Linked DNA regions of Lonchura striata. The protein of the gene in region 1 purifies or fractionates together with the protein of each later gene. This does not show direct contact. Links are inferred from orthologs where the notes say so. Each region holds a gene or a part of one and is shown in the gene's direction. Other genes may lie near its edges.

What was found.
Region 2: the proteins of AP3M1 (region 1) and AP3S2 purify together in Homo sapiens (co-immunoprecipitation; 3 studies listed by BioGRID and IntAct, counting the BioPlex papers as one, with this or other methods). This does not show direct contact. The link is inferred for Lonchura striata from reciprocal best matches to the Homo sapiens genes AP3M1 and AP3S2.
Region 3: the proteins of AP3M1 (region 1) and AP3B2 purify together in Homo sapiens (co-immunoprecipitation; 3 studies listed by BioGRID and IntAct, counting the BioPlex papers as one, with this or other methods). This does not show direct contact. The link is inferred for Lonchura striata from reciprocal best matches to the Homo sapiens genes AP3M1 and AP3B2.
Region 4: the proteins of AP3M1 (region 1) and RABL6 purify together in Homo sapiens (co-immunoprecipitation; 3 studies listed by BioGRID and IntAct, counting the BioPlex papers as one, with this or other methods). This does not show direct contact. The link is inferred for Lonchura striata from reciprocal best matches to the Homo sapiens genes AP3M1 and RABL6.

Annotation. Positions count from the first base shown.
Region 1 is NC_134609.1:11,960,235-11,967,560, forward strand, and holds the start of AP3M1 (AP-3 complex subunit mu-1), read left to right. Parts: upstream 1-4,321; 5' UTR 4,322-4,346; intron 4,347-4,511; exon of another isoform or gene 4,512-4,604; intron 4,605-7,326. UniProt on the Homo sapiens protein: Part of the AP-3 complex, an adaptor-related complex which is not clathrin-associated. The complex is associated with the Golgi region as well as more peripheral structures.
Region 2 is NC_134613.1:24,310,383-24,317,906, reverse strand, and holds the start of AP3S2 (AP-3 complex subunit sigma-2), read left to right. Parts: upstream 1-4,516; 5' UTR 4,517-4,628; coding exon 4,629-4,697; intron 4,698-4,925; coding exon 4,926-5,017; intron 5,018-5,180; coding exon 5,181-5,292; intron 5,293-6,275; coding exon 6,276-6,347; intron 6,348-7,524. UniProt on the Homo sapiens protein: Part of the AP-3 complex, an adaptor-related complex which is not clathrin-associated. The complex is associated with the Golgi region as well as more peripheral structures.
Region 3 is NC_134613.1:7,232,129-7,239,903, forward strand, and holds the start of AP3B2 (AP-3 complex subunit beta-2), read left to right. Parts: upstream 1-4,766; 5' UTR 4,767-4,807; coding exon 4,808-4,920; intron 4,921-7,775.
Region 4 is NC_134624.1:5,627,825-5,635,655, forward strand, and holds the start of RABL6 (rab-like protein 6), read left to right. Parts: upstream 1-4,824; 5' UTR 4,825-4,963; coding exon 4,964-5,093; intron 5,094-7,831. Other genes in the region: protein AMBP, read left to right, coding at 331-432, 1,033-1,070, 1,930-2,008, 2,094-2,261, 2,416-2,592, 3,626-3,657. UniProt on the Homo sapiens protein: May enhance cellular proliferation. May reduce growth inhibitory activity of CDKN2A.

The DNA of each region.
Region 1 (7,326 bases):
GAAAGAGCCTGTGGTCCAAAGAGCCTTCCCACAACCTCCTGTTTCCTCAGCTTACACACTCCCTACAATAAAGCAAGGAATTACTTCAACTAAAAGGATGAAACGCCACAGCAATCTTTCTCCAAAACACAAACACAAAACATGTTGTCATGTGGAAACATGACTCGTGCTGTGCAAAATCCCAGAGGATTACATCAAAGGCCAGGTGAAGACACTTGTCAAGGGTAATTTGAGAGTTACACATCTGAACAATGGAAACCAGTGCCTGCACTGTAACAGCACAGGAGTTTCCATGCTGCAAGTCATTCCGGTTTTGGATGTATTTCTGTCAACACAGCTTGGAAGGGAAGGTAACTGCTGTTGCATCCTAAATAAAACAAAATTAGCAACGTCTGTGGCTAGTGTCCTCAAGAGTATTTGTCTGATTTCTAAAGAAGACTAAATATTCATCTGAAGAAAAAGTCTATTGCTCTAATTCTGGGAACAAACACAGAAAAGTGCTTGAGTTTCAGCTCCTTCTTTGACCTGAGGACATTATGTGTACCAACACGGAAAACACTACCTGTGTTTGCAGATATAAGAAATAGAAAAGTAAGAAAACTATAAGCCATGAAGACAAAAACTGAAATGAATACAAATGGGGAGTAAGGTGAAATTAAAAAACAAAAAGAAACGCCCCCCCCCCAAAAAAAATACAAACCCAAACCAAGAGATAAAAGAGAGAAAAACGTTATTTACTAAATTCTAACTGAAAGCTTAGCCACAGCTAACTTAAAATATTCAAAATCTTCTTTCATTTATAAAGAGCTGATGAAAGAATAAGCTAAATTAAAAGCCAGCTTATTAAGGAAATTTAAAATGTGTGAAATTAGCAATATTTTTTACAGCCACTAGTACCAAGCTTTCTAAAATCTAGTGGAACAGTAATGACAAAAGACTGCTTTTGATAACAATTATGCACAGAGTATTTGATAATTTATTCTTAAAATGAAGAGATCTCTAATAGTAGCAGAAGAGGAGGAATACTGTACTTTTTACTTTTAGCATGAACTATTTGCCAAACTCAGTGCTTACATTGCCTACTAGATAAACTGATTTGTTCAAACAACTAGCCACGTCATGACTATTCAATCAATACAGCAGCTGCAGAACAGCCAGAAGGTCATAATGCAGCACAGGGGACTTGACAAGTTTGTGTGCAGAAGGAAAAGATGAACATGCATATTTCTATACAGACACATACATTTAAGCTCAAACATTTCTACAGAAAACGTCCAAATTCTTTCATATCTGTACCAGACTGTTAAGAGAATCTGCCTGTGGTTTTCACAGACTTCCCTAACAAAACCACATATAAAAGAACACAAATCCTTAGTAATTTTCCTCTAAAGTAACACCTCATGATGTTTCTAGTAAGTTGGTGCTACCACTCCATGACAAGCCATTTGCAGTTTTGCAAGCCCATTTTCTGTTCAAACAGTGCAGTTCACAGAGCACAGATGCAGTCAGAAGCCCAAAACAAGGCAGCACACATTAATGGCCTTGCCTAAAGCCCATTGGTTTGTAGTGGGGATTTGCAGGAGTCAATAAAGACAATGCAAAACCTGCCGCCCAGCAGATGAATGTCAGCACAACACATTGTTGAGCTGGGAATGCCAGTTTGGGTCTCGGGCTTTGTATGCTGCTCACTGGGTGGCAAAAGCCAGCCATCCTATACTGCTTTCAAACAAGTGTAGCTTCCTGAACCCAGTCAGCTTTGCCTACCTCATGAGGGAGCGATATTTGCTTTCCTTTGCCTGAAAAGATCAAAGGGGTCTAAAAATGTAACCATGAAACCTCTATGAAGCCACTTTGAGAGAAAAAATTATGAAAAAAAAAAAGAGAAAAAACAGGGAAAGGAAACCTTTGCTATTGTTGATGAGGTATGGCTTGTATTGCATTGCAGAATTAATTTTTTTATACTAAAATAGTTTTCATGGTAGTCATGGGAAAGGTTGAGGTTGATATCATATGGGAGGATAAATACGGTACAACCAGCCTTGTTGAATCCATTAGACATGGTTTTCTGAAGAGACTGGAGAGCCCCAGATCTACATATTGAGAACAAGCAATCATTCTCTATAATCCCCTCAAATTCTTGGTATAACAAGTACGATGCTATTGACCTCCGAAATTATTAAGTGATTTTTCACTTCTTTTCTAATCTATAGAGGAACCGTTTCCAAACATATCTAGCAGTGCTTTGCATTACAACTGAATCTCGTTACAAATACAGCCAAGTCATGGAACCTCGACCAGTCTGGTACCTTCTCTAGTTGCTTTTACGTCCCACAACAGCACTCAGCCAAACATGTTCTTGCCACTACATTCATATGAGTGCTGAAGTCTGCTAAATCTAGTCCAACCACCAACTGCTTCATGAGTTCAACCTGTGGCAAACAGCACACATTAGCTTTATTTGATCACCAGTTAATTATGGCATTTCTCCTCTTATGAAACAGAACTGGAGCCTATTTATACTTTGGCTTGAAATAACTTGCAACAGAATTAACATATGCAAGTTCTAACAACATTCTTCCTGTTTTATCTATCATACCTTACAGAAGTAGTATTTGCAGTTTAGTCAGTCATTACCAGACATGGTATGTCACCATTGCCTTTCATTCCACTGCAAACAACCTTTAAATTTTTAACTCGGTACACCAATAATATTCTCAGATTTGAAATTTTTCTCATATTTCATCTTAAAATGCTTTTTCCTCTAATAAACTTTATAAACAAACATTGCAGCTTCCAGTTTCTTCCCTCATCTTGCTTTAAGGAGACATGGAGATAACTGTTGCTTTTTTACTATAACCTTACCTTGCTGCATGCCATTTATTTGCTTTCAGAGCTCAGTTACATCTTTCCTCTTCTATTATCTGCAACTGAGCTTGTCAACCATTACTAAACTTGAAAAGTCACTTAGCTGCCAAAGAAGCAAGTACCCTGACTTTGACAAATTTAATAGGATTAGCTCTTTTAATAAGGACATCAGTACCAAAAAAATTGTTCTCATCTCAGGACTAAAGTACATCCCCTTTATGCTATATTTGAGTGAGTTATTGGTTATCAGTTATCGCCAAGATAATTTTGGACCTTTCAAGGCTTATGTCATTAATTCTCTTCACACACTGAACACTTGGAAGGAAGTCAGCTATCTTCCAATTATATTAATATCTGAATAATCCTGAGAAAACAAACTTGAAACTGTACCAAAAAAAAAAAAAAAAACCACCAAAACTGCTCTACAGCTCTCAGTACTCAAAGTTCTCATTTTGACTGTGCATCCTCCATTGAGAAACCTTACATTTTTCTGCTATGACATTTAAAAATAAATTACTTATGTCTGTGCAGGCCATCATTCAAATGGGATTCAGCCAGTGCTATTGTACTGTGATCACAGAAATGAGGAAGTATAGCAAATCGCACAGATTATTTCAATATGAAGATATTTTAAATTATACGGTATGTCTTGAAGAAAATGTAACTGTTAACTCGGATTTTCAGTTTCCTATCTAACAGGGACAGAGACACCCTCGCGAGAGTATTAATCGGGGTATTTTATATTCAAAGGGGAGGCAGACGCAGTGACAATCCCAGCTGTGCTCTAGTACGGGGCCATCGTTGCGAGCAGCGTTCCGTTTTACCGCAACCCATCCAGACTCTCAGCAGCCCATTCGCACCGACCGACCCGACCCCAGGGCACAGCGCGACCCCCGCGCCGCCCACCCGCCCCTGCCTCGGCTGCGGGGAGCCCAGTGCGGCGGCGCCCCCGGGCACCCGCCGGGCCCGGGCAGCGGCACCGCAGCCGCCGGGGCAGCGCGGCGGGACGGCCCCGCCGCCGCCTGCACGTGCGCCCGGTGCCGCGGAGGGGCCGCCCGCGCCCCCGCGCGCAGCCCGGCGCGGCGGGACCCTGCCGCGGAGTGCGACCGCTCCGCGGAGGCGGCACGTGTCTCGCCCTCCGCCGGGAGTAGCACCAGCGACCTCCGGCACCCGCAGGGATTGCTGGCGAAGCAGAGCCCGTCCCGGCGCCCGTTACCTCAGCTGCTTCTGCTCCAGCTTCAGCTTCTTGGCTTGCGGCTCCCCCGCTGCCATCTTCGCGCTGGGCGGCGTGCGGCGCGCTCCGCTCCCCTCGGCCCGCCCGCCGGCCCCGGCCCGCCCCGCCGACCGCGCCGGCACCGCCACCGGGGGGCGGGGGCGCCGGGACGAACGTACGGCCGCGCCGGGCGCCTGACGGGGCGGGGAGCGGAGCCGGACCGCCCGCCGTCCCTGCCCAGCCGCGCGCTGCCGCGGCGCCGGCCCGGGTGGGTTTAGCGCCCGGGGGCCGCTCCCGTCTCCTGCCGGCCGAAGGGGCCGAGCGGTGCTGACCGGCGGCGAGGGGCGGCCGTGGCAGCGGGGCCGGCGGGCCCGGGGAGCGAGGGGGCCGTGCTCGGGCGCTCGGCGCAGGCAGCGCCCCGGCCGGCCGCGCCTCCGCCGGGGGGCGGCCCCGCGCCGCCGCCGGGCCTCGCCGCCATCTTGGCCGCTGTCCCGGGAGCGGGACGGGCCGTGCCGGGCCGGGGGAGGTACGTGGGGCGCGGGGGGCCCGGGCCGTGAGGGAGTGGGGCGGTTCTGTCCGTGCCCGGGGGGACGGGATCCCTGCCGGGCGGGAGCCGCCCGTGCCCGATCCCGGTCGCGCTGGTCGGCCGACGCCGGGCAGGGGCGACATCCCCGCCAGCGGCGGTACCGGGAGGCTGCCCTGCAAATCCGAGACTTCCCGTTTTGTTCGGTGCCCATTTAAATACAAAATCGTCGCCGTGTTCGAGTACCATCCCCCACGCCGTTGTTCTGGGCTGCGGCGGAGGTGCGGAACCGCCCGGCGGAGCGTGCAGAGGCGGTAGCGGCGGGGTGCAGCGCTCACGCTCCGCCGTGAGGCGCAGGGCCGTGAGGGGGACCGGGCAGCGCGGGGCCTGCAGCGGGGCGGTGCGGCAGCCGCAGCCACGCCGGGCCGGGAGGGGCAGGGCGGGCCGGGGAGCGGCGCCGGCTCACCTGGGTCGATCTTCAGCAGCCCTGCTGCAGCCGTGGTGTTTCTACTCCAGCTGTAACCGCTTAATTAGCGAGGGGCCCTGTGAGTGCGGATCTGCCTAATATGCGCTGGGAATAAACGCGTTATCATCCATCACTATGCGCTGCACATCGCTCCCGCCCTGTTCAGTACCCAGCGGCAACTGAGTAGAGGTTGTCGGTTCTTTTCTTTTGTTTCAGTTCAAATCTGCTGTGAATTAGTAATGCACTTACCGTCTTTTCAGTATGATGGATCGTTCGTACCCATTAAGTGTTAATCAAACTGGAGGAATAGCATCACTATTCAGTGTAGCTCTTCTATAACCAACCAGACAAAAAATCATACTTGAATGATGAAAATTTTTGTTCATAGCAGGCAGACTGCAGTATGGGAGAGGAAAAGGTACTTTACAAGAAAAGCAAAACCAACTTCAGTTACTCATGCATGAGGTAAAATGATGGAAACAATGTTTTACAAAAGAACTGACTGTGACAACCATGAGAATGATTTTGCTGTGGCAGTTCCCGGCGGGTTTGAATCATACATAGCTTCTCATTTATTTATTGAAGAGAAAAAAAAGAGAAGATGAAATATCTGAATGATATTGCTCTGTAAAACATCTGTCATATTGCATGCTAACTCAAAACAAGCAAACTTGGGGTTTTTTTTGGGGGAAAGAGGACAAATAGATTCCTTGCTGCCTGTATGCACATATCTGAAAATTCCTTGCAAATGGCAAATCAAACTTGATGAATAGCCTATGCCCTCTCATGTTTGATTTTGCTGGTTTTATTCAGAAATTAAATTTTCTGTTGTGCAAGATCAGCTAAATCCCAATTATTCTCTCATATAAAGATCTCCTTACATGAGGAATCTTTAATAAAAACCTTGTCATGAGGATTCAGAAAAGAGAAATTGAAGTCCTGGAGGTAGAGAAGTCTGAACAGTAGGAGATGAGTGGTGACTGTATTTTATGGCTGTAATAATGGCAATAAATTAAACAAATTATTTTTTTTAAGTGTTAAGTTCCTTCCTTTTATATCCATTTATTTTATCTCCAACTTACAGCTTCACATATAACTTCAAAAAATTAATACAACGAAGATAAGTTGAATCTTTTTTATGCTTATTTAACATAATGTATGAAAGGCAGCCTTTTAACAGGAACTTCTTAGAGTATTCATGAGATTCATTCATACAAGATAAAATAATTAGGGGGGCTGCTTTGCTCTGTCCTCTTGGAGGAGAAGGAAGTGTTTATGTGCCTTCTTTCTGCCTTGTGTTTGGACTGGCTGGGGCAGAGTGCACACACATTGGGAAGGGCTGTCATGCACAGCAGAGTTCCAGTGATGCTTGCTGGCTCTGATGGAGTGTTCCAGTAGTGCATGGCTCTCTGGCACTGTGCTTGTCCTTTCTGGAACCTTGAGTGCCTCTTGAAAGAGAGCCTGTGAAACACAGTAGTATAAAGCTAGGAGCACTGTTGTTCTGGCCTGTCAGACTTACTGGAGGAGTGAACTGGGTGAGCATGGTGGAAAACATCTTCACAAAGAGTTGCTGAGTTGGGGCTTTGATATCCTATGACTGAATCCTTCTGCCTTGTCCATTCAGAGTTCTTAATGGTTTGGCTGGAATATGAGCCTAATTATATTCCCGAAAATATTATGGACAGTAAATATGTGACATGAGACTCACTTTATCTCTGTCCATTTGGCCCTATCTGTCTATTCTACTGCTTTCAGAGAGTGAATTTCTTAAATCGTCCGTTAGTAGTCCTAAACCTACTGATTCAGATCTAAGTAGTGTTCAAAATGTTCCATTTCCATGTAAAAATGTAGTTTTAGCAAGGAATTTGTAATTGTTTTGGTGTGGGTTTTTTTTCTAAGAAACTCTAGCTTTTCCAGCAAAGCTTTCTATTCTTACAGGTCCCAAAGGGAACTGCAGCTATTCAGGATCTAATATTGTTCGATTATTCAGAATCTAATATTGTTCTGTTGATAAGAGATGGAACTCTCTTGCCAGCAGTTAGAAGATTTATACTGGAACTAAATTGAACAGAGGTGCCATGCAAGTGTGTTATTGGAAAGCTCATCAGACAGTAGATTAAATGCTGCACAAATTCTCATGCAGGCTGTAATTGCTACTGGTGAAAGCACAGAGGAAACTGCATATTTTGTTATGTCTACCAAACACTGATTTGAGTCAACTTTTGACTATTCTCAAAGGACTACTTCCTTTTAAAAACA
Region 2 (7,524 bases), on another chromosome or scaffold:
AAGGCTGAGCCCTTTGGGAAGGGCTCAGGGGGACCATGACTTGCTGAGGACTCTAGCCACAGGCAGCACAGGGGATGGGACTGGGCACTGTGGCACATCACATCCCGGCCATCCTGCAGCGTTCCTCCAGCCCCACCGTGCCACCTTCATGGCACACGTGCCCTGAATTTGGTATTCGGGGCATTCCAGGAGCTGCACCTGAGCCAGGGAGGTGATGGGGCTAGGGAAACCAAACCTGGGAGTGCGTGGCAGAGGGCAACAAACCCAGCAGGAAGCCCGCTCGACACAGGGCTACCCCTCACCCCAGCACTGGCTCTGGCCTGCAGCCCCAGGGACGTTCCCAGAGACTGGGCTGAGCTGGAGCTGACTTCTCCACAGGAATAACTAAAACACAGGAGTGCTGGCAGCCTCTCTCTCAAGGTTGTGATGCTGGCATGTTCCTGGCAGTACAAACCTACTGCTTTGTAGATTCCTCAATATTCCCAGCCGGAGAGCAAAGCCTGACAGTGCCTGCGCTCCTCCCTCTCCACACCGCGATTCCTAAACTAGTTGATAAATGAAAATGGCCCAATAAAACCACCCAAAACAAACACTCTCTTGGGGATTAAACCAAGCCCAAAATGCCAACGTGCTGAGCTGTGACCCCACCATCAGAGGTGCTCCACTCCCACGGCTGCGGGATCCACGTCTTACCCCACGAGTCACCCCCAGGTTTGGTGGCAACGTGTCCTGGGCTGCAGCAGAGCTTCAGCTATTTCCCGTTTTGGAGGGACACAGTGTGACCCATAAAGAGGGCACTGACACAGAGCTGCTCACAGGAGAGGAGCTGGGCCTGGGCGAGGGGGACGTGCCTGTTCCCTGGCAGCTCCTGCAGTGAGGACACTGTCACCCAGGCTGGCAGCAGGGCACGGCCACAGCCCGGCCACGCTGCCCCGGCTGCTGCTCCCCACGGCCCCCAGGCACTGGGCACCCTGGCAGCTCCAGGGCGAGCGCCGAGGCTGCTGCCTCCCTGCGACCCCTGCAGAGCCAAGCCTGGAGTCTGTCTCCAGCCCAGGCTATATTTGCTTAATCCTGTGGCCAGCCTGAACGGCCGCAGGACCCAGCTGTGCCGTGTGGGACCCACAGCCCGTGGGGCCTGTTCAAACCCCGGCCACAGAAGTGACCAAGGCAAGCCTGGCAGCATGGTGTGGGCACAGAGTGTGGCATGGGGCACAGGAGGGGGGTGTGGGGCAGAGAAGCAGGGTGTGGGGCACAGGAGCGGGGTGTGGGGCACAGGAGTGGGGTGTGGGATGTGGGGGGCTGATGGAGCTGCAGTCTTTGAACCTGGGGTGGGGTCAGGCTCAGTCTGGTACAGGTCAGGCTCTGGGCTGCCCCTATTCCCCCTGGTCACCCTTCTCTTCCTACACAGCTGCTCACAAGAAAAATCCTATGCTTGACTAATTAATTAATAGAACTAATTTACCCATTACACGCTGTTATGACCAGAGCTGTGGAGGGCTCTCACACGGCTCCCCTTGGTCCCTCGCTTGGGCGCAGAACCAAAGGCCCCCCCAGCCCTCTCGGAGCCGCCTCGGAGCACCGGGAGGTCCCACACCGGGACTTGCCGGTGCTCGGGACCGAAGGTGGGGCGGGACCCGCCCGGTGCGGGACCAGCCCACCCGGTCACCACCGCTGCACTGCGCTCCCCGGAGCGGACGGGCGGACCCCAGCCGGGACCCCTCCCGAACACCAGGAAACTCCCCAAACTTCAGCACGGCGCTCGGGGACCGGAGCCCCGGCGCGGCCCGACCCCGGCCCCGAGCATCCCTCCCCGCGCCGCCGCCCCCGCCCGCAACAGGTCAGGGCCCCCGCCCCGCGCCCTCCCCGCAACTTTGCGGGCCCAGAAAGTTTGCGGGCGGCCGCGGGGAAAGTTCTCGGGGGCTGCTGGGGAGCAGGCACGGAGCCGGGACCCCCGGTCCGCCCCGCTCCTCCCGGTCCCTCCCGCCGCCATCGCTCCCGTCTCGGTGGCGCGGGGCAGGAAGGCGGCGACACCGCGGGGTCCCCGCTCCGGTACCCCCGTGGGAAGCGGGGAGGGTCGGTGGGCGTTCGGGGCCCGGCGGGGACTCACCGGCGGCTCCGCGGGGCGGCGGCGGCGGCGGCGGCTCCGGGCCCGGCGCTGGGTGCGCAGGAAGGAAGAAGGAGGGAATGAGGCAGGGCTGACGTGAAGGGATGCAAAGCAGCTCCTCCTAACTCGCCCGCCCTTCATCTTCCTCCCCCTCCTCAACTTGCCCGACCACCGCGAGCCGCCCCCCCGCTTCAGCAGCACCTTCCACCGGAGCCGGGGCCGCCCTCGGTACCAGTTTGGGGGCTCAGTGGGGGGACTGGCGGTGGGAGTGGTCCCTATGCCCACGCTGTCCCTGCCTTATGTCCCCCCCGGCAGCACAGGGGTCGTTTTCTACCTCACCCTTCCTTCTGGGGGCTGTGGCCCCACGCAATGATGCCGAGGAGGGGATGACCTTCCCAAGAGACCCACATCCAGCTGGGCATCGCTCTCCTCTGCCACGGGGGTGGGAAAGGTCATGGGCACCCCAAAAAGCTTGTAGGGATTGATGGCAAGGACTCCTCTCGCCACGAATGGGATGAGAGGAATTAGGGATGTTGCAGGAATTGGAGGGTTTGGGGAGGGATGCTGTTCACCCACACAAACAGGCGGAGGGAAAGGCCGCGGTAGGGTGGGAGGAGGTGGCCGGAGGAGGCAGTGAGATGGGATGTGGCATGGGAAAGGGAGCAGGTGATCAGGAAGTTGGGGGGTTTGGGGAAGGGTGTGCTCCTGGCTTCCCCGAGAAGGCAGAGGGAGAGGCTGAGCTACGCAGCTGTGGGGATGTGGAGGCAGGAGGCCACTGCTCCCCAGAGGGAGGGACGGGGGTGAGATGTGACTTGGGAGGGAGAGGGGGTGGCAACCCTGCAGGCTGCAGGCTTTGGCTCCCATCGTGAGGAGGAGGAGGAAGAGGAGGAGGAGGAGGAAGAGGAGGGTCTCCTCCCCACAGAAGAAGGAGCATGCGGAGGCAGCCGTGACTCGGGAGATTCTCATCCCCTTGGAAGCAGGTGGCGCCGGCCGGGCTAATCGCAGCAGAGTTAGTCTCCACACGCAGTCCTTTGTCTGGGCTCACTTCTGCTTTTCGGGGTTTTTTTTTGTGTTCGTGGCGAAAGCCGAGCTCCCTGCTCCGTCCCCGCTGCCCTGCTCACATCTCCCGCGCGTGTCCGGGGGCCGCCCAGCATCCCGTCACGTCCCAGCCCGGAGCCCTGCGGAGCGCGGGGCCGGCGGTGCCCCCGGCGGTGCCCCCGGCGGTGCCCAGAGCGCCGCTTCCTCCGCGCGTGCCCCGCGGCCTGGAACGGCTCCGCCGGGGCACAAGCGCCGCCGGCAGTGACGGGGCGCGAGGAGGTTCGCTGCCCTGCATTCCCGGGGCTGCCCCCGCCTCCGGCTGTGCCTGCAGCGGGCACCGGGCGGGACCCGGCTGGGACACGGGACGGGCAACAAAGCAGGGCACAGGGCGGGGAACCGGGCGGGACACGGAGCGGGGTGCACCGTGTGACCCGGAGCGGGACCGGGACCGGGAGCGGGACCCGGAGCGGGGCCGGGCCAGCCCCGGCACCGCCGGCTGCCGGGGAGTCGCGGCCCGTCCGCTCCAGCCAATCAGGACGCGGATTCAGAAGGCCGCGCCCAGTTCAGCCAACCAGAACGCGGATTCAAGAGGATGCGGCCATCCCGGCCAATTAGAGCGCGGATTCAAGAGGCTGCTGACTCAGCCAATCAGCAGGCGGATGCCCGCGGCCGCAGGCGCCTCAGCCAATCAGCACGCGCGGTCCCTGCGCTGGCCGCCGTTCCTCTCCCGTTCCCTCTCCCGTTCCCTTCCCGTTCCTCTCCCGTTCCTCGCAGCCCCGCGGCGCGCACTGACCCTTCTCTCCCGGCCCTCGATGTCCCCCGCCGTGCCCGGCGGTCCCGAGGAGCCGTGTCCGTACCCTCTCGGTAAGGGCCCGTGGCTAGCGCCCGGTGCCACGCGGGATTGCCCCGCCCTGTTCTCACGTTACTGCGGGCCCTGGCCGGTGTGTGCCCGCGCTGGGCGGAAGCGGGACCGGGCAGTGGCCGGTGAGCTCTGCCCCCGCCGGTTCCCACGCGCTCGCCCCGTCCGGGCACACACCCTTCAGGGTGCCGCTGGCCCTTTAAAAGAAGGCGTGGTCTAACACAGCCCCGCCCCCTGCGCGAGGCGCCGGTCCCGGCGGGGCTGGCGCGCCCCCTGGCGGCGCGCGCGGGAAGCGGCGGTCCCGGTGTTCCGGTGGTCCCGGGGTCCCGGTGTTCCCGGCGGTTCCGGTGTTCCCGGCGGTCCCGGTGGTCCCAGTGGTCCCAGCCGTCCCCGCGCGGGCAGCGGCCGCCGCACCCTCCAGGCCTGCCCGTCTGCCCCGCCGGGCTGCGAGGAGCGGCCGAGCCCTTCCCGGCGGCAGGCCGCGGAGCCCCCGCCTCGGAGCGGCTTTGATCGCTGGCGCGGCCCGGCGCTCCGCAGGGTCACCCCGGGCTCAGCCCGGCGCAGCCCGGTGCGCTTCCGGGGCGGCCGAGGGGCTTCCTGCGCTACGGCCGCGGTGCTGCCGCCGGGATGATCAACGCCATCCTCGTCTTCAACAACCACGGGAAGCCGCGGCTCGTCCGCTTCTACCAGCACCTGGTGCGCCACCGGGGCCGGGCGGGGCCGGGGCCGCCGCTGGGGCTGCGGCGGAGCCCGAGCCCGGTGCGGGAGCGGGAGCGGTGCGGGGCGGAGGGGCCGTGGGGCTCGATGGGCGGGGGGCGTCCCGGGAGCGGGGCGGTCGTGCCGCTGCCCTGTCGCGTCCTTCAGGGTGCCCGGGTCACCCGCGGGTGGCACCGGCAGTGCCCAGCCACCGCGTCCTCCCGGCAGGCAGAAGAGGTGCAGCAGCAGATCATCCGCGACACCTTCCACCTGGTGCTGAAGCGCGATGACCACATCTGCAACTTCCTGGAGTGCGGCAGGTACCAGCGGTGCCCCGGCCCCGTGCACCGGCAGGTACCGGCGGTGCCCCCGGGCAGGTACCGGCGGTGCCCCGGCCCCGTGCACCGGCAGGTACCGGCGGTGCCCCGGCCCCGCGTGGGACCTGGCGTGCCCGAGCCTGCAGCTGTGCCCGTGTCCCCACAGCTTGTTTGGCGGCTCGGACTACAAGCTGATCTACCGCCACTACGCCACGCTGTACTTCGTGTTCTGCGTGGACTCCTCGGAGAGCGAGCTGGGCATCCTGGACCTCATCCAGGTGCGTCCCAGCAGGGCCCGGCTTCCCTGCCAGCCCTGGCACCATTGGGGGCGTTTTGTGGCCCTGCCAGCCCTGTGCCAGCCCTTCTGAAAGGCCTGAGGAGCCCTCGGGGCCGTGCTGGGGATGGGGGCTGCATGTTCTCCCTGAGCTTCCGCGTGGCTTCTTCACCTGGGAGCAGCAGGGAAGGCAATCTGAAGGAATGTCTTCTAAAAATCAAAGCATGGGATCATTTAGGGTGGAAAAGACCCTTGGGAGCACCAAGTCCAACCATTAATTCTAGGATTCTGCAATCCCAGGTTGGAAGGGACCTCAGGGATTGTCTCATCCAGCCTTTCTTGGCAAAACATGGCCTAGACAATTCCCAACACCCTGCCCTGTGAAAAATACCCAGTGCTGGGGAATCCCTCACTTCCTCATGGAGATTATTCAACGGCTGTGTCTTTGGAAAAAAATTTTCCTCTTGAGCCTTAAGAGGAACTTGTACCCATCGCTCTGTGTCTTTCCATATGACTCCTAGTGTTAAAGGAGTTTCCAGCTTCGTAGCCACCCTTTAAACACCAGGATACGGGAAGAAGGTGCCCCCTGAGTCTCCTTTTCTCCAGGATGAGCCCCTTCCTAGCTCCCTCAGCCTCTCCTGTGGCTCCGGCCCCTTCCCAGGTCTGATCCCTTCCCTGGACACGCTCCAGCCCCTCCAGGTTTCTCTTTTTGGGAGAGGCCCAGAGCTGTCCCAGCACTGGAGGTGTCCCAGCAGTGCCAGCCCAGGGGACAGGCACTGCCCTGGGCCTGTGCCCATACTGGGGCTGACACAAGCCAAGTGCCATTGGCCTCTTGCTCACCTGGACGCACCTGGGCTGATGTTCAGCCACAGTCACCAGCATCCCTAGGTCCTTTTTTAGCTTTCTAGTCACTCTGCCCCATGCCTGGAGTGTTCCATGGGGTTGGCGTGACCATCTTGCCTGGTGTGGTGTCTGTCTGCTGCCCAGGTGTTCGTGGAGACGCTGGACAAGTGCTTTGAGAATGTCTGTGAGCTGGACCTCATCTTCCACATGGACAAGGTGGGTGCTGGGCTGGGGCTGGCCAGGAGGGTGTGGGGATGGCAGGGGTCACTGGGAGGGACGGGGATCCTGTGTGGGAAGTTTCAGCCCGTGTCCTTTGGAAGCCCCTGACGTTGTGACCTGCCAAGGAGAGACCCGCGTGCTGGGCTGCTCTGAGCCCTGGGGCTGCCCCTGTGCTGCACAGGCAGCCCTGCTGGAGCTGGGCAGACTCTGGCCTGGCGCTGGGGCGCTCTGCCTCTGCTCCAGCTGTGACAGCTCAGGAGTTAACATTTTACTACAGCTGCTGGGAAAAAATGGGAAGGAACAATGGGAGTGTTTGGAATTCAAAGTGCTGGGTAAACTTTGGTTTGAACCACAGCCTGTAATGCTTCCTCTTGAGCTGGATGGAGATCCTGGGCGGGAACCGTCCTCTTTGATCATGTTCTGGATCTCAAGGCTGAAGATAGCTGGGAGTAGATAGCCAGGAATAGATTTGGAGGAGGGAGAGGCTTGGCTGAGGGCGCTGGGCTTGTGTTGCTGTTGGTCAAGATTTTCTTGCTTTGCTGGAGACAAAACATAGAACAAAAAAGAGCACTGGGAAAAAAAAAAAAGGTGCAAAATGCTCCCTTTCCATTGATGATTCCAGCTGGGGAACTGGCAGGGAAGGGGAGTGAGCAGGTCTGGGGCGCTGTCTGCATTAACAGCTGCTGAGGTTGGGTTTGGTTTCACTGTTTGCCCTATTGCAAACTTTCCAAAATGCCACAACGAGATTTTCTTGTCAGCAAAAGTGTTTATCAAAGGAGGAAGGAGAGTCAAGCAGCTGTGGGAGAAGTGTTGGCAGCTGCCCAGGTCACCTCTGCCCACAGCTGGGGGAGGATATGCTCATGGGCACTGACTCTGTGGGATGGGCAGGACTCAGCAGTTTTTCACTCAGCCTTACTCTCAGCTTTGCATGGGCTTTGCATGTAAAACACTGAGCCCCATGGCCAGCCCCAGCCCTTGGGCAGGGCACATCACACCTTTGCCAGCAGCAGTGGGTCACCCTTCTTCTGGCCCCTCCTGACAGAAGAACATTCTCAGGAGATGGGGGTCGGGGTTTCTGGTAGTGGAGACCCCAGCTCGGTCACCCCGGCTTTCCCAGCCCTTCCCATCTGGTGCTCCTGCTGCTTCCCAGCTTCGACTCTTGGCCATTATCAGT
Region 3 (7,775 bases), on another chromosome or scaffold:
TGATGTGGGATGGAAAGGACATGATGGGGACCAAGAGGCAACAACAAGGATCAGGAGGGGGTGATGGCAACAAGGAGATGAAGACTGGGAGGAAATAATGAAGTTCAGGAGGGGACAATGGGGATCTGGATGTTTTGATGGTGACCCAGAGACAATGACAAATGTGAAGAGCAGGAGGTGACAGCAGTGACCGGGAAGGGATGATGGAGACCAGGAAGGTGTGACAGAGATCATGAGGGGGCAGTGGGATGCAATAGGGTGAATGGAGATCATGATGGGATAGTAAGGACTGAGATGGGATGATGGGGACTGGGAGGGAATGAGAGGGAATGGAGGATGGGAATGAGAAGGGTGTGATGGGTACATGTGGGCAAGATAACAGAGACCAGGAGAGGATGGTGGAGTTTAGAAGGGGGCAAGACCAACAAAAGATGACATGAAGTTCTAGGAGGGTGGCTGTGGCACTGGAGGTGGCTGGGAAGGGTTAATTACTGCCTGCACTGAGCTGGGTCCAGGCCAGGCTCAGGTTTCACCTGTAATTAGCTCTTGTTTATTGGAGGCTCCTTGATAAATGATTCTTTGGAGGTTGCCCGATGACAGAGGGTGACAGTCACCCACCTGAGCCCTGCTGAAGCCTTCACTGACCCCTGGCACCAGGATTAAAGTTTAATGTGACTCGGGAGCTGACCCCGGGCATGCACCATTCTGGGGTGACAGGGCCGGGGACAGGCTGGTGGCCATTCCTAGGACAAGGGGCTGGGTACAGGCTGATGGTCTCACAGAGCCAAAGGGTTTTGGCACCGAGAGGTGATTTGTCATAAGCCTGGTGGTCAGTGGTTACCAAAGCATGGTGGCCACAGGGCTGTTTCCTGACTCCTTTGGGGTCACCCAAGAGGTCTGTGGATGAAATGTCACACCAGGTTGGGTTTGTCCCCGTGGGACTGGCCCTTTAGGATGGGCAGAGTGCCACGGTGCAGCCGGTCCGGGCACATTCCCAGGCACCGGTGGAGCCATGTGCCGCTGCCAAGAGCCACTGTGGTGCTCGAAGGGGCGGGCTGAGGTCCTGCCCTGCAGCCACCTTTGGAGCAGCAGCAGCTTGGGAAACACAGTGGAGTGAGGGGACCTTGGAGGTGCCCCCAAGGTGAGGCAGCAGGGCACAGAACGAGCCCCGAGGCTGCAGCTTGGGTTTTAGAAGGGTGACGTGTCACCACAGCTGTGGGGACAGAGAAGTCTCCAAGGTATGGGTACCTGCCCCCAGCTCTTGGGACATCATGTTTTCTGCTTGCAGATGAATCTCCTCGCCCAGGTAAAGGGGAAGCCAGCAGGAAGGACACCTGCATCCAGGTGATCCCACCCCCTTGCCATAGGACCTGCCTGGACCTGGATCTGGGCCAGGGTGGGGGGGGGGGGGGGGTTTGTGGCCTGGGAGGCTGGGCTGGACTGGGCTGGGCTGTGTGCTGGCAGAGACACGGGTGGTGGCAGGGGATGGGTGTCAGAAGGGGACAGTTCCCGTCTTGCCCTGCCTCCTCTCCCCACAGGTGAGCTCCCTCCTTCAGACCCTGCAAGGCCCGGACTGGCTGTTCCTCCAGGCCTGGCACTGGCTGGGCTCCTGGGTACGGCAGGTTTGGGGGTGCTGGCATGAGAATCCCAGTCAGGTGCTTGGGCAGGGGGTGGCAGCAGCCCAGGCTAGGGCTGAGCCATGACACAGATGACACTGGGGCTGATGCAAGGTGTTTGTCCCTCCAGGTGAGCAGTTCCAGGCAGGTAAGTGCTGGCATTGCCCCTGTGCCCTGAACTGCCTGTCACAGCCCTGGCACAACTGGGCTGGATGCTGCACACCCTGCCTTTTCCTTGGCACCCATGGGTGCTTCAGCACCTCGAGGGGGCAGCCCCTTCCCAAAGGGTTTCCATCCATGGAGGCCAGAGACCCAAGCTGTGCTTAAGCCACCAATGATGTGGGATGAGCCAGCAGGTCAGTGATACTGCTGGTGTCCCCAGGCCACCAGTGGCCCTGAAACATGGCTGGGTCCCCAGGCAGTGACTGGGGCAGTGACCACGGCAGGGTTCTTCCTCTGCGAGGGGCTGCTGGGACAACACTTCAACATAGTCCCCAACGGGGTGGCTGAGCCCCAGCCTGGGGACCTCTTCCTCTTCCCGCTGGCCTCCGGGGGCCCTGGCTGGTGGGGTGCCCATGCTGGCATCTACTGCGGTGACGGCGAGATCATCCACCTGGAAGGTGAGCCCCAGGAGCTGTCATGGCATGGGGACATCTCCATGGAAGGGACATGGGGTGCAGAGTCCACTTTGCCCTGCAGGCAGCTCAGGGATGTCACCATCAGGCGTCGTGGCTAAGCACGGCAAGAGCCACCTCCTACGGACACGGGGCCCAGCCAAGGTGCTCCGCAGGAAGGGAGGGCTGGACGTGGCTGCCCTGCAGCGACGGATCCGGGTGGCCATGGACCAGCCAGTGGAGTACGACACCGTCACCTGCAACTGCATCCACTTTGCTCTTGCCCTCCTGGGGCTGGGCCACCTTGCTGGTGCCATGGTGGGTGCCACCACTACATTAGGTACCACCACCCTGGGACATTTTGGCACCTGCTCAAGCCAAGTGTCACCAAACCTCTTCATTTTTCCCAGGTGTCCCCAGCGCTGCAGTGATGGAGGTGACGGTGCTCCTGGGGAACATGTGGGGCTGAGTACCCTCCCCTGGGCACCAGAACTGCACCAGGGATTTGTCAATCCTCCTGTGTGGCAATAAACAGTTGCATGGAAACCCTGCGCCAACCCTGCTTGATGTTTTCTCACTTTTCCCAGAAGCTGCTGCCAAATGTTGTCCCACCTTGACGGGAGAGGCTGCTCTTTGCTCCCCATGGCCTCCTGAGACAAACATCTGCCTCTTTCACTGCTAGCATTTAGTTTTGAGCATAAAAATGTATATTCCATGGGCTGCTGGGTTGAAAATGGGCCAAAAGGCTGGATCAGGTCTGTCCAGAGGCTGGTGGTGTACCTCAAGGGACAACTCTGTGTCCAGTCCTGGTCAACCTCTTCATTACTGATCCAGTTGATGAGGTAGAGTTTATCTGCAGTGAGGGGGAGTGAGTCACCAACCCATGGTGATGCTGGCACCCCTGGAGTGCTGCGTCCTGTGCTGGGCTCTCCAGCATGAGAGAGACAGGGACACACTGGAGAGACACCATAAAGGGCCACCAAGGCTCTGGAGCATTTCCCTAGGAAGGGAAGCTGAAAGAGTTGGGGTAGTTCAGCGGGGAGAAGGGAATGTCCAGTAGGATTTTATCAGTGTTTATAGGGGGAAAAAAGGGGGAAGTCAGGCTCTTCTCTATGTCTCCTGAGGGTTGGGGTCTCCAGGAGAGCAGCAGGGTCCCCAGGGAGGTCTGAGATCCCAGCAGGGTTGGGGTCCCTGGGAGGGCTGTGGGGTCCTTGGGAGGGCTGGAGTGAGTGTGTCTCTGTGCTGAAGATTAATTGCTGTCCATTAATTAGATGCTTTATTCAATTCTCCTACTTGAACCATGGCCCTTTTCCCTCACTGCCTCACTCCTGTGGGATGGGGTGAATGCTGCCCCATCCACACAGCTCCAGGACCAGTTGCCTGGAGAAACAACAGCAGAAATATCTGCCAAGAGTATAAAGTACCTGGGAAAAATCAAAGAAATGCAAACAAAATCTCAACTATAATAACATCAATAATGATATCTTATTATTTATATAATTTATAGTAATGTAGTATATAAAAATATATATGAAATATATTAATATGCATAGTCATGTCTACAATATTTGTATTTGATGTCTGTAGTATAGTTAATATATGATCATATATCTAGTATATAATTCCTATCATGTTATTGATAACAATATTAAATATAAACTATAATATCTATAACAATAAGAATAATATAAATTAATATCATACCTAATATATATAATAATTCAGATATCATACATCACATATGCTATCATGTGGACTATAGATCATAAAATATTGAATTTTATCATACAGTAGATAATACATAATACACAACATAATCTGCAATATAACATAGCATAACATATTGCATATATAACCTATTGCATATATTATATCATATATATAAACTGTAGAATGTAGAATGGTTTATGGATTGTCTATAACATAGTATGAATATGGCAAATACATAGTAGTGCATAATTAATGAAATATATAATATAATATAGTGCAATGTAATAAATAGCATGCAATATATAGTATACAGTATGCAGCATGTAATAGAATATATAAATTATATGTAATATATAAGTAAATGTGTACTATGTATACTGCACACATTATTGCACATAAAAGAATAATTTATAAAGTAATAATAAAGTGTAATATGGTAGGATATACATATTATAACATCCGAACATATAACATTCTTTACTGTAATGTAACCTATTTTAAATACGTCTAATTATAATCATACACAATATTGTCTATTGCTATATAATGATAGATTTTCATGATTCTGGACGGGTATGTGTGCGGCTGTGAGCTCAGTGCCAGTCACTGTATCATAGCTATGTGCCCAGCATCGCTCCTCCTAGAATCGCCCGTGTCCCGCTCCCGGAGCTGTGCAGGTGCGGGGGCCGCGCAGGGACCCCCTGGGGCAGCGATCTGCCCCTGCGCTCCCGTTCCCGGTGTCGGCGGGGAGCGACCCAGCCGGGCGCTGCCCCCGGGCGGGGGCCGGGGCCGGGCCCGTCCCCGCCCGCGCTGACATCAGTTCCCGCGTCCCCCCCGCATCCCGCATCCCGCATCCCTCCCGCCGCCATGGCCGCCAGCCCGGCCTACGGCGAGGAGAAGGGCGGCTCCTCCAGCCTGGGCGAGCCCGAGTACGGCCACGACCCCGCCAGCGGCGGCATCTTCTCCTCCGACTACAAGAGGTGGGGACAATGCGGGCAGAGGGGACAAGGACGAGCCTGCCCGCGCGGCCGCCACTGCAGGCCTCGGCCGCCGTCCTCGGTACCCGAGCCGGGGATGGAGCGGCCCCCGGCGCGGGGACGGGGACAGGGACGGGGATGTGGATAAGGATGGTGATGGGGATGTGGATAGGGGTAAGGACGAGGATGGGGACAAGGATGGGGCAGGGAACGCGGTCAGGTCGCCGCCACCGTCATTGCAGGTTGCAAAGGCCGGAGAGGGTGGGAACACCGCGGAATTTTGGAGATGCTGCGGTTGGGGGAGGTATGAGGGGATGCCCCTTGACCCTCCCACCCTCGGGCTGGGGTATCCCGGGCACGGTGTTCCCACCACCGGGTCTGCTGGCTCCTGTGGTTCTCCTGAGCTGACACCCCCCCATCGCATCGAGGCTCCCGGTGGGTGGCAGGGGGATGTTGGATGAGGATAAGGAATGTCACCCTGCCGTGGGACAGTGGGACACGCTCCTGAGGGGGGCGCAGGGGTGAAGAGAAATGGGGGAGGTGTTCTCCTGGAGCTGCAGGAATGTATTTTGGCCCTCCCTACTGTGTGTGTCCCCCACTCTGGCACTGTCCCCCCCGTCCCTGCTGCCCCAGCAGGAAAGCACTGAATCACTGTCTGACAGCATCACGCTCTCTACCCCTGGCTCTGTCCCCCAGTCCAGCAGTGTCTCCCCATCCCTGCCCTATGGTAGTATCCCCCCATATGACAATGTTCCTCCAGTCCTGATTCCCCGGCAGCATCCCGCACCTTGAATGTGTACCCCATCCTGACCTCTTGGCAATGTCCCCTGTTTGGGAGTGTCCCCTCTCTCCCTGTACTCCTCCCTAATGCTGCAGTGTCCCCCATTCTGGATGTGTCCCTGATCTGTGATTTCCTGGCAGTGTTCCCATCTCACTGGGTCCCCCCTCCCTGAATCCCTGGCAGTGTCCCTTTCTCTCTGATACTCTGGCAATGTCCCCCAGTATGACAGTGTCCACCCAGAGCCCCTGGCACTGTCCCCCACTCTGGATGTGCCCTGCATCCATGACCTGAAAGAAGTATCCCCATCTCATGGTGTCCCCCATTTCCTTATCCATTAGTAGTGTCCCTTGCCCCTGTCTGGCAGTGTAACACTCCCTACCCCTGGCTTTGTCCCCCAGTATGACAATTTCCCCCAGCCCTGATCCACTGCCAGTGTCCTCCAGTCTGGCAGTGCCCTCTATCATGACCCACATCTCAGAGTGTTTGTCCCTCCCAGGAACTGCTGGTAGTGTCCCTCAGTTTGTCCAAGTCTCCCCCTCTCTGACTTCTCCTTGGCAATGTCTCCCAGCCTGGAAATGCTTCCCTGCTCCCATGTCTGCCAGTGTCCCCTGACCCCCACTGGCAGTGTCCCTCACTCTGGAAGCATCCCCCAGCCCTGACACCCTGGCTGTGTCTCCCAGTCGGTCCCGGTTACCTCAGTGATTTGCCATCAGTGCCTCCCACTCTGGCAGTGTCAGCACCCCCACGGCAATGACCCCTTACCCCTGACCTCCTGGCAGTGTCCCCCACACTCACAGTGTCCCTCACACCCATAGTGTCACTATAATCTGCATGCTGCCCTTTGCCAGGGCCATACCAGATCTATCACCACTCCTGTGAGCCATCCATGGCATCCATGTAATATGTGGCAAGATAAATGCACCAAGTGTGACCCCACCACCCAGCTGAGACACCCACAGGTGCCCCATCATGCCACCCTACCACCCAGGCAGAGTGTCCCACCATGATGTGCATTCCCTGCCCAGGACTGAGCCACTCAGCCCTGGGGAAGGAGCTCCCTGCAGTGTCCCCAAGTCCCACCTGCAGGTCAGATGTCACTTTGGACGTGACATCCCAAGTTGGCCTCATCCACTGGGAGTTGCATCCTGATCTAGGCTGCAACCCAATCCCAACCACAGCATCAGGTTTCAGCCCACTGTGCTGGGCAGAGGAGCGGGGCCACAGCCCTGTCACCATCCCCAGGGCCACTACCGCCAGTCAAAGCTATGATGTCCTTGCCGCCAGTGCAGAAGCTGCTGCGGCAGCTGCCGGTGGGGCCAGCTGGCTGGCCGAAAACACCAGAGGGTGGTGGTGTGGCCGAGGAGGTGACAAGCCCGGTGCTGGCCACCGAGGCTGGACAACCCACCTGCTACAGCGCCCTGCGAGCTGATGAGCTGCGGCCACTCGCCGGCACCAAGCCCGCAGAGGACACTGGCACTGGGCCACCGCCGCGGTAAGACTCCCCCAAGAAGCACCCCCAGGACCCTCTGGTGATGGTGGCTCTGGACGAGCATCATCCCATGGGTGTCACCCTCAGCTGCTGCAGGTAGATGCAGCCTTGCAGGTGCACCCAGTTTAGGGGGGGACCAGTGTCCCTTAGGAAAGAGGATAATGGTAACAACTTTAAAAAAGGCTGATGGCATTTTCACAGTCCAGGGAGGGGACTAAGGAAGGACTTTTCATCACGGTGTGCTGGCACATTCATGCCACTATGTCCATGAAGTGGGGGACAAGGGACACCCAGCCATGCCAGGATGGAGCTGGTGATGGGCACCTGTGGTTTAGGGACAATGTAGGGTGACAACCACAGCCAGGATGGAACCGGGTTCTTGTCCCAGTGCCTGGGATGAGGATGGCACTGGGTGCTAGCACCATGCCAGTCCCTCCGGTTCCTCTTTCACCTGGCTGTAACCCAACTCCTGTCCCCATAAATATTTAATAATGAAGGGTTGGATTGCCAGCCTGATGGAAGGCTGGGAGCAGAAAAAAAAGACTAAAAAACAGGCAAAAATGTGAAAATGGGAATTTTTTTCCCCAT
Region 4 (7,831 bases), on another chromosome or scaffold:
TAGCTCTGAAGTAGCAGGAGATGCTTAAGAAACATAAAACCCACTTTGTCCAAGCCCTTGGTCAAGAACAGCAGGCTGCCCAGGGAAGCAGTGACATCACTGTGCCCAGTAGGTTTCAAAAAACATGTAGACGTGGAGCTCAGGGACATGTTTTAGGGTGGACATAGCAGTGCTGGGTCAACGGCTTGGCTCAATCTTTGCTTCCCTGATTCTATGCTGGGAAGGACCAGGAGTCTGGTGTTGCACCTGCCTGCAACCACCTGAGCTCGGTGGGTGCTTGGGGGCTGCACTCCCACACCGACCCTGCTCACAGCCCATTCTCTTTCCCAGGGAGGAGTCCGGAGCTACGGGAGGACCTCATTGAGTCTTTCCATCAGTTGGCTCTGGAGATGGGCATCCCTGAAGACTCCATCTTCATCCTGGCCAACAGAGGTAACCTCCCATGGGGCATATGCCTCTCATGCTGCCAGAGCACTCCAGGTGCTCCTTCTGGGTCTGCCAAGCTGGGGAGAGGGGGGGTGGTCAGGAGGGAGGAAGGAGAGACAAATGCATTGGTAGCATGGGATGAAAAGGAAATAAGGCCACGTATCAGGATTCTACCAGAGAAATCATCTTCCAGAGGGGTCAGTTCTGGGCTGTCAGGTCAGTGCAAACACACCATTGTGCTGGGATGAGGGCATGGAACACTTGTGTCTGGTCTCCAAGCTGGGTTCTGCCAGCACCTGGGAGGCTCCTTGCTTAGTCTGGGGTTCAGAAGGGGATAGCAGGATGGAGCATGTGTGGGGGTGTGTGTGTGTGTGTACGATTTTGGGGGAACCCAGGGGGACTGTGGGGATTTCAGGGAAATGGGCATTTTAGGATGGTGCTTCTGAGTGTGAGGTGGAAAGCAGAAAAAGGGGAGTAACATTGGGTGGAAGTGGGAGGGTGTCCCCTTGCTCAGGGTCCTGCATGTGCACAATGCTGGACTCACTGAAGTTTGTCAGGACACCTCTCCTCTCACACTGCTCATCTGCTCTCCTGCTTCTGGGTCAGGTGAATGTGTTCCTCAAGAGACTGAAAATGCTCCCCAGGTGAGTGGCCAGCTGGGACCCTCTGAAGTGGATCAAGGCCAGAAACATCCCCTCCAAGCCAAACTCACTGGAGATCGGGTGTCCAGGGAGAAGGATCCATGGGCAGGACATGTTGTTTGGGCAGTGGCTCCACTGACCATCTTTGGAGTTGCTCTTCCTCCTCTGCTGATGGGCTTTGCCTGAAGGGATGGCACAGGCTGCAGGGGGGGTGGGTCCTGGTGGCCAGGTGGGCACAAGAGCTTATTTCCAGGTGGAAGACTTTTCCTACTCTGATTTTTTTCACAGTGTGAAGGTTGCTGATGTTTCCTTGCTCCTTGCCTGTCTGTGTGTGTCCCAGCCAGGCTGTAGGCTCCTTCTCCAGGGATGGGGAAGCTTAACACCCACTGGCTCTTCAACTTCCATGACTCAGCACCTCCCAGTCTCTCATGGTTGAGTGTTGAAAGATTTTCCAGGGGGAATGAGACTTTCATAGGAGAAAAAACCCTATGTCTGGGTTGACTGAGTATGTCTAAGCTCTATGTCTGAGTCAACAAGAGTTGACTCAAGAGCAGGTAACACATCGTTGAGGCACACCCCCAGCACCAGCACGAGGCATGACTTGGGCACTTGGGGTGTCTTAATCCACAACAATCTGGGTTTGTGGACCCCACCCTGGAAGAGCACAGGGCTGGAAAGATCATGATGTGTGGAGGGATCACAGCCTGCAGACCCAAGACCAGTGACTGGAGACTTGGTGGGAGCACAGAGGAGGGTTGGAGCCTGAGGTGCCCCTGACACAGCCCACCCTCAGGACAATGGGGTAGGCAGCAGGTCCCACAGACAGGGACTGATGGCAGCTCTGTGCTTCCTTACTGTGCAGAGGGCACGGAGAGCAGTCCTACCCCTGGAGGAGGGCTCAGCCGCAGGACCCCTGCCCACTTACGTTGGCAATAAGGAAGGTAGGTCACAGGGGAGGGGGCTGCATCAGGACGCCCCTGGCCTGCACTCCCATTCCCCTGTGACCCATGGGGTGCTGGTCCACAGACTCATGCCGGCTGAGCCAGGACCCCGGGCCCTGCAGCGGGATGCTCTCCCGCTTCTTCTACAACTCCTCCTCCATGGCCTGTGAAACTTTCCATTATGGAGGCTGTTTGGGCAATGGCAACAACTTCTACTCAGAAAAGGAGTGCCTGCAGGCATGCCGGACCGAGGGTGAGAATCCCGGCTGGGTTGGGGCACTGGAGGTGCCTTTGCTGAGGCATCACAAAGGATCTGAGCCTTGCCTCAAATGCCATGTGTCTGCCATCCATGTGGGAAGTGTGGGGGTGCTTGGACCCCCCATCTCATGCAGCTCCTGTCCCTGTAGCTGCCTGCAGGCTGCCCATTGTCCCAGGACCCTGCCAGGCAGTGATGACACGCTGGGCCTTCGACGCAGCCCAGGGCAAGTGCATCACCTTCAGCTATGGGGGCTGCAAGGGCAACGGGAACCAGTTCTACTCGGAGAAGGAGTGCAAGGAGTACTGCGGGGCTCCTCAGCTGGCAGGTACTCCCCTTGCCACCCCCCCCCACCACCCCCCAGGGCAGCAGCCTGCAACAGCTTCTGTCCTGCACTGGGTCTGCCTGGGATGGGGACAGAGCGGTCCTGGTTCTGGATTGGTCTGTCCTGACTCTGGATGGGTCCAGGATGGGCCCATCATGGGCCTAGGATGCATTTGTCATGGGTTAAGGATCAGTCTGGCTCTGGAATGGGTCTGGACTGGTTTTGTGCTCTTTCTTCAATGGGTCATTCTGGGTCAGGACGGACACGGGCTGGGTTTGTCCTTGGGCTGGGATGGGTTTGTCATGGGTGTGGGATGGTTTTGTGCTGTGCCTAGGAGGGATCTGTCCTGGGTAGGGAATATGGCCATTAACCCACAAACAGTATGGCACAGTGGGGCTGGGCAAGCTGCAGACATGCTGAGGCCATGACTGAACTTTGGCATGGTCTTGATGAGAGGGGGAACGTCCACAGGCAGGTTGGGGTGCAGCGGGGAGCAGTGGAGGTGACAGACATGGGCTGAAAGACTTGGTGGTGCAGGAACCCTGACACCAACTAAGGACCAAGCCAGGGTCCCTGTCAGGGGTGTGATACCTGCCAGGCCCCCCCAGTTCCGGCCAGTGCAGGGGTTTCTGTACTGAACCTCCTTGGGAGACACAAGAGGTACCACTTATCCCTCAGGGAAAATGATGACCAGGTTGTCAGGAGTGTGGCAGAGAAAATCATCCTGCAGACTGAGGTGTCTTCCACCTTATCCAGCCCTGGGCGTGCCTACTCCCAGGAGGACGGGAGCTGGGGACTTGGCCCGACCCCATGGATGGGAGATGGAGCCTGTCCTAGGGCAGAACTCATCTTTTATAATCCCTGCCAGCAATATAAAGTACACTAATGCCACCATGGCGTGTGGTGGGACACAAAGTGGGGGACCAGCACGGGTGTGCAGGGATAAAGTGGGAAGCAGCATCCATCATCTGTGACTGCAGGGTGATGAGGGCTCTGGGGGGTCTGTCCATCACCTGCTGTGACTCTCCACTTGCAGAGGACGAGGAGTTCCTGCAGCTCTCAAACTGATGGAGGCAGAGGATGAGGGGCCAGCATCCAGCACCAGGGTCATGCAGGACAGTGCTGACAGCTGTGGCAGCCCAGGAGATACCTCCAGCAGTAAATGTCTCTCATGTGACCAAAGAGCCCAGTGTCAATCCTCAGGCTGGTGGGGAGCAGGGTGGGGGACACAGGAGGGGCAGAGGATGCTGTGGGGTCCTCTCTGGTGGGTGTCCCCATCTCTTTGGGGTTACTGGGCTCTCCCCGCTGAGTCTCTGACCCTTCCTCAGGCCACTGCCCTCTGCCCACACAGGGCTGGGGGGACACCGAGAGGCTCAGGGGTGCCACTGGGTGGACTCCAGCCCCCATTTCCCAGGAGATGGGGTTGGGCTGCTGGGAAGGGGACCAGTGTCTGCTTGTCCCTAAGGGTGAACGATTGCAGCTGTCTCGGGGTTATGGTGTGACCAGGGAGACCCGTGTGCGGCCGAGATGGGCTGCACGGGGGGTGGGCAATCAGGGGAGGGTTATATGGGGTTTGCAGCACGGGATTACGGGGTGTCGGGTAGGACCGTGAGGGTCACAGCAGAGTTAGGGGGTTTCGAGGGTCACGGGAAAACGGGACTGGCATAGGAGCAGACGACACGGGTTATGGCGGTCCCAGGGGGCACAGGGTCCCAGGAAGGGATTAGAGGTGTTTTGGGGGGAGTCCCAGGGATGCTGCCGCGGCCTCGTGAGGCATTACGACGGTCATGGATGGGGGGCTGTGAAGCTGCCAAGAGGGGATTGCGGGAGTCTTGGGGGGGCTGTGGCGGTCCCGGGGGCACGGCCGGGGTTGTGTTGGTCACGCTGCGGGGGTCTCGGGCGCGTCGGGCTGCACTCGACCCTCAGTCACGGCGGGAAGCTCCCGGGGTCGTGGCAGCGATGGCGCTCCGCGCCCTTCTGTCCCCCGCCGGCCGCCGTACCCGCGCCGCGTGCGCCCCGGCCCCCCGCGGTGAGGCGGAAGAGCCAAGATGGCGGCGGCGGGAGCCCCGCGCCGCCTCCGCTGCCCCCGCCCGGCTCCCGGCCCCGCTCCCCGGCTGGGCTGAGCGCCCGGCCCCACCGCCCCGTGCCGGACCTCGGCAGCGGCCCCACCGTCCCGCGCCGGGACATGCCCCGATAGTGCCTCCCCTCCCCCGGCGCAGCTTCCTCCTGCCGGGCCCGGCCCGCACACCTCCGCCCCGCATGGCCGGGCTGGCCCCGCCGCAGTTCTGAGCCGCCCCGTGCCTCCGCCGCGGCCGCCCGGCTCCCGAGCCCGCGCTCGGCCCGTTCCCCGGGGTGCAGGTGTGAGACCACGAAGATGTTCTCGGCCCTGAAGAAGCTGGTGGGCTCGGACCAGGCTGCGGTCCGCGACAAAAACATCCCTGCGGGGCTGCAGTCCATGAACCAGGCGCTGCAGAGGAGGTTCGCCAAGGGAGTCCAGTATAACAGTGAGTCGGAGCGCTGGGCCGGGTGGCCGGGCCAGCCCGAAGGGAGGTGGGCGGCCCTGTCTGTGCCCCCTGGGTGCCTAGGACCGCAGAGGGGCTGGGAGTGCGTGTGCTTTCTGTGTGCAGGTTGGTGCTTTTATCCGTATTCGCTCAAAGCCAGGTTTGGAATTAAATGTGGGAGGTCATTGGAGGAGTGAGGAATGGGAAACTTTCGTCTTTCGGCGCAGGACTCGGGACCCGCGGTGCAGCAGCGTCCCTGAGCGCTGCCTGCCGGCTGTGGCACAGGAGGGAGTGCCTGGTACATCAGGTTGTGTCAGTTCGAGCATCAAGAGGGTAACTCCCCTGAGTACGTGGGTGATCTTCCCTGCAGCACAGGATAATGATGCTTATAATTAAGCTGTAGTGGTTGTATGATAAGTGTCTATTAAAAAGCTCAGCCCTGCCAGGCTTCAGTAAAAGGTGGACAGCAAATACATACTTCTGTGTGCCCTTAGTACATCATTTCATCTTGGCTATCTTTTCTGCAACGATACATTTGCTCTTTTATCGAGGAACGCTTTCAGAATTCTTTTTCTCTCAGTGTTGAGGTTTAGGACTGCATTTTTCCCTTGGAGCTCAGTAAAGGTGATTTCTAGTATCGGGTTTCAGGAGGGCACTGCAAGTATGTGAAATACATCCCAAAGTAACAATTGTGAGATAGGGACAGCAGTTATGTCATTCCTGCTGAAAATAGAGCTGGTTCCAGAGAGTGCTGCAAGTACCAGCTCGTCTGTGTGGAGGCAGATTGCAGAAGGCTGAGAGATTGGCAGGTGGGAAAAAGACTGATTTGTGAATGTGGCACTGGTTAATTTCTGTGAAGGCACACATATTGGAGGAATAGAGCTTCTGTTGGGTCTTGGTCTGAAACAGAATGCAATAAAGAAGTTACACTTAGGATTTTGGGGTGTTTTTTTTCTTTGTTTAATATTATGTCTGTTGGCTTTGGGACTGAGGTTTTGAAGTGCTCTGCTTTACTAGAGAAAGCATTTGGTGCCTTTATCCCTAGCACATCTCAGATATGCCAGTGCTGTTTAATTTATAAAATTAATGTCTTAGCAAGCAATCCTGCATGAGACAAATAGAAGTGTGATTGTTGAGACTGGGTTTACAGTGAAAGATGGGGGTGAGGATGAAGGTGCTGCCTTGGAACACAGCACTGCATCCTTAAACATGTACTGGAGATCTGCTGGTCTCGACTGTTGGTTTGTGCAGAGGCTTCATGTGGCCACAGCCCAGAAGACCTGTGTGCTGCATGGGCAGCCGAGTGCCAGAGATCAGGTAGCTAATACCAGCTTGTGAATTATGTAAGAGTCAGGAGCTGGCTTCTCAGACAGGGGAGATTTGTGCTGCGGATGGAAAGGATCAGCTGCATCCTGCTGGCACAGGATGGGACCAGCTCTGCTCCATGGTGACTGCATCATGCTAGACCTGTGCATGGGCACCTGCCTGCTGTTTGTGCAAGGCCAAAAATGCTAACTGTAGCTTTGCTGCTTTTTGTCTTATTAGTGAAAGCCTCAGGAAAGATTTTTGGTTTGTGCTCTGTCTTGCCAGGACTTGCATTCCAGTTGCTGCTTTGTAGCTGAAAACCCAGCTTTCTGTCACTGCCTTAAGGCAAGCTTTCCAATCTCCATAGTAACTCTTCCCAGTGTCAGTGTTATATAATATTTATAGGAGATACAGGCTGGCTTATGAAAGTAAGGGTACCCCCCCATAGCCATAGCACTGGGGAGATGGGGAGCATTCCTATGTGAAGGAATGGCATTACAAGGGCCATTGCTCAGGAAGGGCAGAACTGCAAATCCTGTGCATTGCCACTTCTCCTTTCTTGGCAAATTCCTGACATTCAGCGGAGGAGCGCAGGATGTGATTTGGAGCCACCGTTAGCACACAAAGATCTTTACAACTCCTGTTTCCCTGAAACTGCCTAAACCTAAACCAAGGGGCGCTGTGATTTGTTTTACAGAAGTGGTTTTTTGCTGCATTAGACCACTACAGATCCTGAATGAAGCCTGTTTCCTTCCCAGAAATATACTTAGTATACTGAGAATATGTTGGGTTGTTCACTGATAGAGCAGGCTGGGACACAGGCCTTGTACCTGGCTCTGGGTGCCTCCCAGGGCTCAGAGCAGCCCCTGCTGCGCCAGCCCTGCAGTTCTCAGGTAGATTCTGTAACAGATAGCCCCCATGTTTGAGGTCGTGTTGAAGGCTGTGAGGTGTTTTAATGGCACTGATAGTTACAGAGCCTGGGTAGAATAGAGCACTAAGTTGAACCTGAATGATTTGTTTTGATGGTACCTCTCCTACACGGTCAACTTTTCAAAAGGAAGAGCATTGTGAGGTGGGAAGGTTTAGATTTCTAATGAAATTATGAGAACAGATACCAATATCAGCCTTTGGCAGCAATCATGTCCTTTGCTTGGACATTCTATTGTAAAACAAAAGCATTTCCATACTGCATTCCAGCACGCACACACTCTGTTCCATCTACATGGAGCTGCTGTGGTTCGCATCCAGTTAACACCAGAGTTCCCTGAGCACTCAGAAAGCACAGAGCTGAAAATGACGTGGGTCTGTGCCATGTATGTCATGGCTGGAATCTTAACAAGGGATCATGATTCCAGGGCTTGGGAACTAGTCTTTGTGAAAACTTCCTCTTGTTTTCTTGCTTGGGATACCCTGGATCAGGTGTGCTGCATTACTGT